2 linked regions of the Saccharomyces cerevisiae S288C genome follow. The gene in region 2 interacts genetically with the main gene of each other region. Each region holds a gene or a part of one and is shown on either strand. Other genes may lie near its edges.

Region 1 (3,322 bases), 750 kb from region 2:
ACTCCCCGCTTCGGAGTTTCTTTTTTATTTTCTAGAAAAATTCACATGCTGATTCATTTACCGTTACTGTTTCACTGTGATGCTACTAGTCATATTCTTCTTATATCAATTTTTTTTCTATTGCTGTTTGCATTACCGCAACATACGATGGGAATAAACAGCACAAGCTGTTGTGTACATTTTTCCTCATCATATAACTACAATGTACATAAGTTAGCTTGAAAAAATTCTAGGTCTCATATTAATGCTTGAAATATGGAAGTATGTCGAATGTTTTATAAATAAGTCGAGAAAAATGGTTATGCTACCAGCTAACTTATATATATATAAGACTCTTTCATTCTTTTCTTTGTCTCTCAAACTTATATTTGTTTACGTTTTGGAGGAAAACTAATTATTTTTTTAATAAAGTAAACATAGCATTTCCAAGGTGCAAACCGATCCCTACCACCAAAATAAGCATACAAGACCGTTACAGCGTTAAGACAAAACTATGCTTCTAGGGGGGGGGGACAAAGCAAGGAAGATTAAAATGAATTCTTCAACTTAGGGGTACTTTAAGAGAAAGAATTCAATACTTGCGTTAGCTGACCACCCCATAGTTCGTTTAGATAAGGATATGGTGTGAAATTCATAGTTGAAGACTCTTGAGGAGGTAGGGAACATCTCTCTTCGCCCACCAAACCCAGTTTTCTCTAATACTCCATATCCAAAAAAGTGTAGCTCTATGTACATTGCCAAGGTTTTCTACTGATCAATATTTGATGGAAAAATATGACATAAGGTATGCGTATTAGTAAACTATTAGGGAGCCGCCGGTACTAATAACATCAAGGCCATCTCACGCCGAGACTTACTTGGACTTTTCTCTATTGTAAAGCGGAAAAAAAGTTATCACCCCGCCCCCTCCTCCGCTCCTCCACTAAAACGATCAGCAAATGGCAGAATAACGCGGTACTAACCAGTTTTTCCGTTCCTTGAAACCCAGTCATACTATGAAGTCCCTAAAATTATTCCGAAATTATTCCCTAGAACAAGCGGGAAAAAGGTCCGGGGAAATGGAGTCCGTGCGAGTTTTGTTAGGATGACTGCCCCACACATTTCCTCATCTTATAATTTTGTGGAAAAATTCATCGTGAGAGAAAATACGAGTCCATTTCTCCAGTGAAACTACCGTAGACATGGAATATCTGCCATTCTACCCCTTATTCAAGTGCCTTTTTTTTTTTTTTTCATCCCACATTTTATTGCTGCCTCAATCTCCATTAAGAAAAAAAATTTATATAACCAAATGACATTTTTCCTTTCTTCTCAAACTTTGTAATGCGCCTGTAACTGCTTCTTTTTTTATTAAAAAACAGCATGGAGTTTTTTAATAACTTAAGGAAACATACAAAAAGATTTGTTCATTTCACTCCAAGTATTTTTTAACGTATATTGAAAGTTCTCAATAGCGAAACCACAAGCAGCAATACAAAGAGAATTTTATTCGAACGCATAGAGTACACACACTCAAAGGAATGTTTGTTTCACCACCACCAGCAACTTCGAAAAACCAAGTTTTACAACGACGTCCATTAGAATCGACTAACAGTAATCATGGGTTTGCAAGCTCCCTACAGGCCATTCCGGAAAACACGATGAGTGGCAGTGATAATGCTTCTTTTCAAAGTTTGCCACTATCAATGAGTAGCTCTCAATCCACGACTTCTTCGAGAAGAGAGAACTTTGTGAATGCTCCTCCGGAGTACACTGATAGAGCTAGAGATGAGATTAAAAAAAGATTATTGGCCTCCTCACCTAGCAGAAGGTCACATCATTCAAGCAGTATGCATTCAGCGAGCAGGAGATCAAGCGTGGCTGAAAGTGGGAGTTTACTTTCGGATAATGCCTCGTCTTATCAATCAAGTATATTTTCTGCCCCCTCTACTGTGCACACGCAACTAACTAATGACTCTTCGTTCTCCGAATTTCCTAACCACAAGTTAATCACGAGAGTGAGCCTGGATGAAGCATTACCCAAAACGTTTTATGACATGTATTCGCCAGATATTCTATTAGCAGACCCATCCAACATTCTCTGTAACGGGCGTCCCAAGTTTACCAAGAGAGAGTTATTGGATTGGGATTTAAACGATATAAGATCGTTATTGATAGTCGAGAAGTTAAGGCCCGAATGGGGTAATCAACTACCGGAAGTAATAACGGTGGGTGATAATATGCCCCAGTTTAGGTTACAATTATTACCACTATATTCTAGCGATGAGACCATAATCGCAACGTTAGTCCATTCGGATCTGTACATGGAGGCTAACTTAGATTATGAATTCAAACTAACCAGCGCCAAATATACAGTAGCGACCGCTAGAAAAAGACATGAGCATATAACTGGTAGAAATGAAGCCGTCATGAATTTGTCGAAACCGGAATGGAGAAATATCATCGAAAATTACCTCTTAAATATAGCAGTAGAGGCACAATGCAGGTTTGATTTCAAACAAAGATGCTCCGAATATAAGAAATGGAAGTTACAACAGTCCAACTTAAAAAGACCGGACATGCCCCCACCAAGCATAATACCGCGGAAAAACAGCACAGAAACAAAATCGCTTCTGAAAAAGGCTTTATTGAAGAACATTCAGTTGAAAAACCCCAATAATAACCTTGATGAATTGATGATGAGATCAAGCGCCGCAACAAATCAACAGGGAAAAAACAAAGTCAGCTTATCTAAAGAAGAAAAGGCTACGATATGGTCGCAATGTCAGGCACAAGTTTACCAAAGATTAGGATTGGATTGGCAGCCGGATTCAGTATCCTGAAGATACTAAAAAGAAACCTTCCCGATGGTTTTTTTGGAGACTCTTCGATTGTATCAATACTATCCCATGGACATCAGTTTTAATAGAGGAGCTCCAAATTCCCAAGGAATTGAGGAAGAAGCGCCAATGATTTATATATACAAACTAGCTGTTGCAGCTTTATAGAGATTTAGTAATAAGAATTTTATGGGAACGTGGTACCGTTATCGCAGTAAAGAGTCAAGGGTAGCGAAGATCAAACCATACGATGACGAAATACCTTTAGTTCTTAGCATCACCAATCGCAGACATCCAACGTATCCGTGCGCGTAATCCTTCTCTTGGTAGTTGAGCACAGCATACAGAAGAAGCCGCGCGCAAGCGGTAAATGTCTTTCCTCCGGCCTTCTAACCACCAAAACCGATCTCGGAACATGGGGGGGGGAAGGTCCTCTGAATCGAAAAACCCGAGACAGCGAGAGGGATTTTGCAGAAAATTACAAAGATCACTATTTACTGCTC
Region 2 (8,497 bases):
GGCTCTAATAATGGACGTCAAGCTAGCAAGGATGATACGCTCAATTTACTGGATACTACCGTCAACAGCAATAACAATCATAATGCTAATAATGAGGAGAATCATCTAGCGCAAGAACATTTATCCAACGATGCTGATATTGTTGCAAATCCAAATGATCATTTGTTGTCTTTACCGACTGATAGTGAACTCCCAAATACTCCAGATTTTTTGAAGAACACTAACGAACTAACTGACGAGCATAGATGGATATGATGAAAATAATTCTGTTTTTTTTTTTTTGCGATTGCATTTTCAACTCTAAATATTACTCTAACAGTATTTCCTAATTATTTCATAGGTAACATTGTATGACATTTTAATTTTATTGTCCTTATTATTTTACTTACTTAGCTGACTTTTTTGAACATTATCAGATGGGTATATAGATATTTACAAGCTCGCGTTATAGGTGGAGACATGTGTCCTTATATAAATCGCAAAAAGAATCGATCAGACATTTAAAGCCGTGCTTTGTCCAGCAACTTTATGGAATCTTTTCTACTTTCAAGAAAGACATTTATCATTGTTTTCTTGTCTTTATCATTCCCTAGCTTTTTTACGCTTTCTAGGCAATCTCGTGCACCTTTAAAATTCTCTTCTTTCACACAGCAATCGAAAAATCCAAAGAAACATTCCAAGTCCATTATTTCCATACCCGTTTTGAACCATTCTTTCGCCCTTTCATAATTATTGAAATAGTTTAATTCAAGAAATCCTAATGTTTTAAAGCATTCTTTAAATCCAATTGATGCACAATTTTCTAGCAAGGCTTTGGCTTTCATGGGCTCTGAACTCATATATAACCTCGCTAACAGAAAGTACCAACGTGAACTTCTTTCAATTTCCAGCAGTTCTATACAACTCAGCCATGACTTTTCTGCCTTCAAAAAACCATTGACTTGCTTTATTTGGATTTCCCCAAGTTTTCCGTGAACTTCGCCTGCCAATTTGGTACTATTTTCCAATTTCAAGAACTCTTGGTAATATTTCTCAGCCTTATCGTAAGTTTTGTTTTCGAAAAACAGGTCCCCTATTAATTTAACCGTTAAATGATGGTTACGCGCATACAGCTTCTTTATGAATTCATTAGCCGTTTCAATGTCTTTTTCATAACTGGATTTGACGTTTTCCTTTTTATATTCATGTATCACGTTGAAGCTTAGGATGGATATAGCATCGTTGTTGCCAAGTTCGGCAGCAATATTCAATAATTTATCCTCCATAGCTAATAAGTCTTTGTGGACGAATTTGTTCTGCGTCCTTAGAGTTATCAAGACGTTTCGCATCTGCATAATGTCTGAACTCCTTATATAGGGGTATTTCTTCCTCCATGGGATATTCTCTTCATTAGTATTTTGTGATACCTGCAGAAATATCGGGTACATTTCATGGTATGTAAGCCTTGTATCTAACTGGAATAAAATTTTGTTAACCGTACGTTTCTTCGGGAAAATCTCTTGAAACTTTTTGGGTACTGGTGGTGTGGAAACAAACTTACTGACAAACCTCTGCATATTTTAGATCAGATATTTCTTGCTTTTGTTTTCGTTTTCGTCTGCTACTGTTTGTCTCCCCTCATATTGTTGTTGTTAAAATCTAAAAACGAATTCCATAATGATGGAAAAGAGTTAAAATTCAACACCAAAAAACAAGACGCATCAAGAAGTTTATTTGTATATGTTGAGGATACATCTAATGTCAATAACACAGATTCTACAAATTTTATAAAATCATATCAGTTACGTATTTTTATTGAAGACGGGTCACTTGGTGGTGGTAATTCTTTGAAATAATCACTTTCTAAACACTGAACAGCGGTCCACCTCTTTTGTGGGTTCATCGTTAGCATTCCACACATAAAATCTAAGGCGTATTCGCTAGCAGCAATGAACCTTTTCCTCAATTCATCTCTTGAAGGGGGCGGATATATTTGTAACTTGTTATACGTCATAAAGGAAGAAACTTCGGGCCAATCTCTATCTGTAGGTGTCCCTAAGGCCCTGAACGTTACTTCCATTTGATCGACATCATTCTGTCCTGGTAAATAAGGTATCCTTAGCATTAATTCCGCGAATATAACGCCTACTGACCAGATATCAATAGCCGATGTGTAATGTTTAGCTCCAAACAACAATTCTGGCGCTCTATACCATCTTGTTACGACGTTACTTGTCAGTATCTCATGTGGGGCCGGTATCGCCCTTGCTAGACCGAAATCTGCTACTTTTATCTGGCCATCAGGTGAAAATAATAAATTGTTTGGTTTCAGATCCCTGTGCAAAATGAAATTTCTGTGGCAATGATACACGCCCCTCAAAGTCATAAGCATCCATGCCTTAATATCTGCTGGTGTAAACAGTATTGATTTGTCTTTTATTACCACCTCTAGATCAGTTGGTAGGAACTCCAGAACGAGATTTAAATTATCATAAGCCATAAATATGTCTATTAGTTCTATGACGTTCGGATGCTGCATTTCTTGGAGGTACTTAACTTCACGGATAGCTGACATATCTAAACCATCTTTAAATTCGGATGTTTTGATCTCCTTAATAGCAATCTTTCTTCCAGTAGAGTGTTGACAACCCAAGTAAACAACCGCATAAGTACCCTCACCAACTTTCTTTTCTGCGATGAATCATCATTAATCAACGTTAGTATCATTATTGAATGTTAAAAGAAAGACGACAATATATAACCCCCACATACCCTTTGTGTACTCCATATTCACTTTCATATGTTCGCTCTGAGGCCGGGAATATTTTTTTTGATGACTTTTAAGTAACTGTGATTTCACTTGTATTTTTTTTCAATGTGTTTTTTGAATCTACTTGTAATATTCTCTGCACAATGCTTCAAATGAAGCTTCACATCATAACACAAAAAAAATTGTAGGTTCATCCAATGGACGAATCTTTCTTAAGGCTTATGCTTGAAGACCATTTCTATATACCAAAAAATTACAAACTGGCAAGATTGATGTCTTATTGAAACTGAAAATCTTTCAAATTAGAGGGTGATTTTCAATTACAATTGACAACTAAGCCGACTTCCCCTGAAACCGCTTCTGAATTCTTACAAATTTCTCTTGGAGGATTTGTTCAAGGTAGTGTGGTATGTTTTTAGCGTATTAACAGCAAGCGTTGTGTCTGCAAACAAAGAGAAAAAATATCAGTACAAAAAATGCTCACCTGACCTTATTCACCCAAAAACATCGGGGAAACGGTAGTAATATGGAAGCTGGCAGGAGTGCTGATGAAGTGCTATACCACAATCAGTCGTCAGTAAAGTTAGGTGAGTTAGAAAGATACGTTATTACATATGAGCTATACCAGGGTGATAGTATTCCCGCTGATATCACACTGGATTCCCTATGGGTAAAGATCAAAAATACCACAAAGCTATCCTATAAACCAGCCTATCTATTGGGCCCATTTATCTTATATTGTGACGTGCGAGCAAAAGATTACGAAAGCTCGTATAAGATCATATGTTCGGCGGATAAACCAGTATTTCAATCAAACCTACAGGCACAACAAAAGTTTATTGCAGAGTTGTCCTTGCACCACATTAAGCCACGCTATGTATGGATAGTGGATATTGTCAGTCAAATACTATTTAATAAAGAAACTAAGGTAACTTTTGAGATAGTAGTCGGCAATTCAAAGGCCTCTTTGAAAAGAAAAATACGATGTAATGATTCATTGCCTGATAAAGCCTGCAATATTTTACACACAGGATTATCGGTGCATAGACTTACCACCGCAGATATATGGAAAGTACCACGACCCATAGACATGTCGCAAAAATCCCATTTAGTCATTCTCACGCATGGTTTTCAATCAAACGTTTCGGCAGATATGGAATACTTAATGGAAGAAATATACAAGGCTCAAATGAACAATCCAAATGAGCGACTAGTTATTAAGGGATATATGAAGAATGCTTGTGAGACTGAGAAGGGTATTAAGTTTTTGGGTGTTGGATTGGCAAACTACATCATCGACGAGTTATATGATGACTCTGTTGGGAAAATTTCATTTATTGGTCATTCCCTGGGTGGATTAACACAAACTTTTGCTATTTGTTACATAAAGACCAAATATCCATATTTCTTTAAGAAAGTGGAGCCAATCAATTTTATCTCACTGGCGTCACCATTGCTAGGCATTGCTACCAGCACGCCCAATTACGTAAAAATGTCATTGTCGATGGGTATCATTGGTACTACGGGGCAAGAACTGGGTCTTAAGGATGGAAATTATGGTGATAAGCCCCTACTTTACCTGCTATCCGAGGAATCCTTAATCAGTGTGCTTGCTCGATTCAAAAGAAGAACACTTTATGCTAATGCCGTCAACGACGGAATAGTTCCCTTGTACTCCTCTTCTTTACTTTTTTTGGACTACTCTCAATTACTTCAGAAACTGGGAGGTCAAACTACGGCACCTTGTGATCCTCTCTTCCAGCCTGAAGTAAGTCCTATTGGGGAACTTCCAAATCATAGCGATGTTGCTAATGATGATGATGGAATCAATGCATCGTCATGGAACACGTTTTGGAAGAGCAAGGAAAATAACTGCGACAAGAAATCTAAACGCTTGATGAATGCTTCCGTCATCAAATCTATGAAGTCTGTGCTTCTATCACCATGCCCCGACGCAAAGTTCTTCTCAGATCCCGATGCAAGGGTCGCAACAATCATACATGATAAGATCTACACAGAAAAGAATTTACCGCCTCCATCACCAACACTTTATGAAGGAACAGCAGCCAAGGAAGGCGAAACGAGGAAGACGAGAAAAGAGATGGAGGAAATCATAGCACGCCGCTGGCACAAGGGGATGCATTGGAGGAAAGTCGTGGTATTGCTGAAACCAGATGCCCACAATAACATCATCGTAAGAAGAAGGTTTTCCAACGCTTACGGCTGGCCGGTGGTTGACCACCTTGTTACCGCCCATTTCCAAAGAGATGACCCAATCGCCTCACCAATGCAAGATAAACAGTTTGCTGAGGAAGATATAAACATGGCAACCGGAGGGGTGGAACCAAACAAGTTCTACTCATGGCTCACCAAGATCGAGGATCCTAGTGTGTACCATGGTGGAATAGTCTCCACAGCTAGCCAGCTCGCCAGCTCCTGGATTAGCAAGCATTCCTCTGTGACAGATTGACTGTCTATCTTGACGTCATCCCGGGATTGACTTGCAATTTACTATTGTCCACACCTACGAAAGTCCATTTTACTTCGTAGTTCGATAAATGCGCTTACGGGTCTTTTTCGAGCGGGACAACTCTTCAGCTCCTCCCCTAAAACCGAGGCCGAATATCCCTTCTCCATATAAATAAGACACTTTTCACCAGGAAAACAATACTTCAGAAGCTTATTTCTCTTGACAAAAAGAGGGGTAAGATCTTTATAAAACATAAAGCAAATCAAAACATAATAACTACTACAAGTAACATAATGTGCTCAGCAGGCGGTATCAGAAGACCAATCCAGATCGAAGAATTTAAGACGGCGATAAGCGGCATGTCCGACATGGAGTTGGCACAGATTAAAACAGAAATTGAGAACAGTATCAATCATTTGCAGAGGTCTAACGCCCGCTTGGGTAAATACATAGCTAAGTTGGAGGGTGCTGACGACCGTCTTGAAGCTGACGACAGCGACGACTTGGAGAACATTGATTCGGGAGACCTGGCGCTGTACAAGGACTCTGTCAGGGAGAACGAAATTGTGCTAAACAATTACAATGAGAGAGTGGACGCATTGGAGCAAGAAACGGTATATAGAAAGACGGGCCATGGCAAGAGTAAGCACGAGGTAGAGGCAAAGGACAACACCAACAAGGGCCCTGACGTTGACATGGACAATTCAAATGTGGACGTCGTGACACCAAACAGCATATTCATTTAAGAGACGGGATTTAGTTTTACTGCGCATCATTTTCACGTCATACTCTTTGTCTCTCTGTTCTATCTCTTCGTATAAATATTTCAATAACTCCATTTGTCTATTCTATCTACCCGTTCTATCCTTACTACTAGATATCTTAAAGAAATAATAAAATAAGTAAATACAAAAAAAACTCGCTATTAATAATTTATCTCCGAAAGCCCTAGGGTGTGCTTTTCTTCCGTGCCCTAGTCTATTATTTTGAACCCTAGTTGGCGAAATTTTTTTCTAATATTCAGAAAAAAGAAACGTAGAGCTTATATGGTGAAGGAGTACAATGATACTAATAGTCTGTAGACGGCAAAAGGCATTCTTTTTGACTAGCACAACGACAGTTTGAGATTCTGTTGAAATAATCATTTATGTCTCTTTCGGTCGCCGAAAAGTCGTACCTATACGATTCACTAGCAAGCACGCCTTCAATTAGGCCCGATGGAAGACTACCTCATCAATTCAGACCTATAGAAATATTTACTGACTTCCTACCAAGTTCCAATGGATCGTCCAGAATTATAGCTAGTGATGGAAGTGAATGTATCGTGAGCATTAAGTCCAAAGTTGTGGATCATCATGTGGAGAATGAACTACTTCAGGTCGATGTAGATATCGCAGGCCAAAGAGATGACGCGCTGGTAGTAGAGACAATCACTTCTTTACTGAACAAGGTTTTGAAGTCTGGTAGCGGAGTAGATTCCTCAAAGTTGCAATTGACAAAAAAGTACAGCTTCAAAATATTTGTCGATGTTCTGGTCATTTCATCACATTCACACCCAGTTTCTTTAATATCCTTTGCTATTTATTCAGCGTTGAACTCCACATACCTACCGAAACTTATTTCAGCTTTTGACGACTTAGAGGTGGAAGAACTTCCTACGTTTCATGATTACGACATGGTTAAGCTTGACATTAATCCGCCTTTAGTGTTTATATTGGCCGTTGTAGGCAACAATATGCTATTGGACCCTGCAGCCAACGAAAGCGAAGTGGCCAATAATGGCCTAATCATTTCCTGGTCTAATGGTAAGATTACATCACCTATCAGATCAGTAGCATTGAATGATTCAAACGTTAAAAGCTTTAAACCTCATTTGTTGAAGCAAGGTCTTGCAATGGTGGAGAAATACGCCCCCGACGTAGTACGATCACTGGAGAATTTATAAAAATATAGTCACAATTAGATAAAAAGACAAATTAGTTTACATACTAAAAACTTCATGGTTAACAAAAGTGGGAATGAAACCTGATTCTTACATGTGTTGAACTGTATAGGAATGAACGATAACTGCGGTTGCCGTTTGAATATTCATTGATCTGATCACACCAAATTGTTGAATCTCTAAACATAAATCCAATTCGCTTAACAAAGTCCCCGGAATACCGAATGCTTCGGTTCCTAGCAAGATCAATGATTTTTTAGGGAATTGGAAATTGTTGTCTAGCTTCACTGATTTATCCGTTTGCTCTAGCCCAATTAATGTGTACCCTTCCTTCTTTTTCTCTTTCATGAAACTTGCAATCTCATCTAGGGCAACTTCCTCCATGGGCATCCATCTATCAGCAGTCACAGCAACATTTTTAAATTGAGGATGGTTTTTGACTTTGATGTCTTGTACAGTAAGCAGTCCCACACCTAAAACATCACATAACCTACAAATACCTCCCAGGTTTGGCGGCTTATCAACTAATGAAGATACCACAATCAATTCAGAACGTGTAACGACATCATTCGATTTTTTATTGTCCAGATCCAGAACGGTTTCCCAAGCTCCACTTTTTGTTTGCAGTGGAGAAGTGTCACAGGAGATGTTCGCGTTGTTAACAGATTCCGTATTGGTGTCTCTTTTATCAAGCCATAAGGACCTTTCATCGGTACCTATAGGAACAATATCTTTCTCCTGCAAATATTTTTCGAAAACAGACTCAGAAATGTACGGGCAATCATGGTCGGTAACTTTTTTGAGCACACCACCAAACATGTTCGTTAATTTCCTATCACCCTTCAGATCCCATATGTTGGCATCCCCGGCACGATATTGACCAAATATTTGAGTCTTTTTGGCATTGGAATATAAGTTCTCAATGATGTTTCTCAGTGTGTGATCCGATAGGTAGGCTTTGAATGTAGGCCATAATGAAATTATTAGAGAATTAGAAAAATGCCTTACCAGAGGTTTGTTTGAAGCTGCGTTAGGAACTAACGTGCAAATGAATCTGTCTAGTAACTGTGTAAATCCATATTTCTTTTCGTCGTTTCTTAAATCTTTCAACACCATAAAGCATATTTTTTCTGCGCTAACTACAAACACCGGTTTGCTATGATCCTCCAGCAATGAGAAGAGATAATCCTCAGCAAATTTTGGATTGCCAGTTTTATAATAATCAACAACCTTTGAGGAAATGAACCATTCTTTATATACTCTTACTAGTGGTGAACTTTCATCCTCGATACTCTTTAGAATTCTGATCATGCTAGTTTCGCTTAATTTTTTTTCA

Evidence for each region. A genetic interaction does not mean that the proteins touch.
Region 1: mutations in MSS2 (region 2) and MTH1 together harm fitness more than expected from each alone (negative genetic interaction), as found in Saccharomyces cerevisiae (2 studies listed by BioGRID).

What each region holds. Positions count from the first base shown.
Region 1 is NC_001136.10:1,013,901-1,017,222, reverse strand, and holds MTH1 (Mth1p), read left to right. Parts: upstream 1-1,520; coding exon 1,521-2,822; downstream 2,823-3,322.
Region 2 is NC_001136.10:261,980-270,476, reverse strand, and holds MSS2 (Mss2p), read right to left. Parts: upstream 1,557-8,497; coding exon 501-1,556; downstream 1-500. Other genes in the region: PHO2 (Pho2p), read left to right, coding at 1-255; TFIIH complex serine/threonine-protein kinase subunit KIN28, read right to left, coding at 1,778-2,670, 2,752-2,779; YDL109C (putative lipase), read left to right, coding at 3,276-5,219; TMA17 (Tma17p), read left to right, coding at 5,513-5,965; exosome non-catalytic core subunit RRP42, read left to right, coding at 6,367-7,164; TRM3 (tRNA (guanosine(18)-2'-O)-methyltransferase), read right to left, coding at 7,252-8,497. UniProt on the Saccharomyces cerevisiae protein: Required to stabilize mitochondrial cytochrome C oxidase subunit 2 (COX2) and to translocate the C-terminal domain of COX2 through the inner membrane.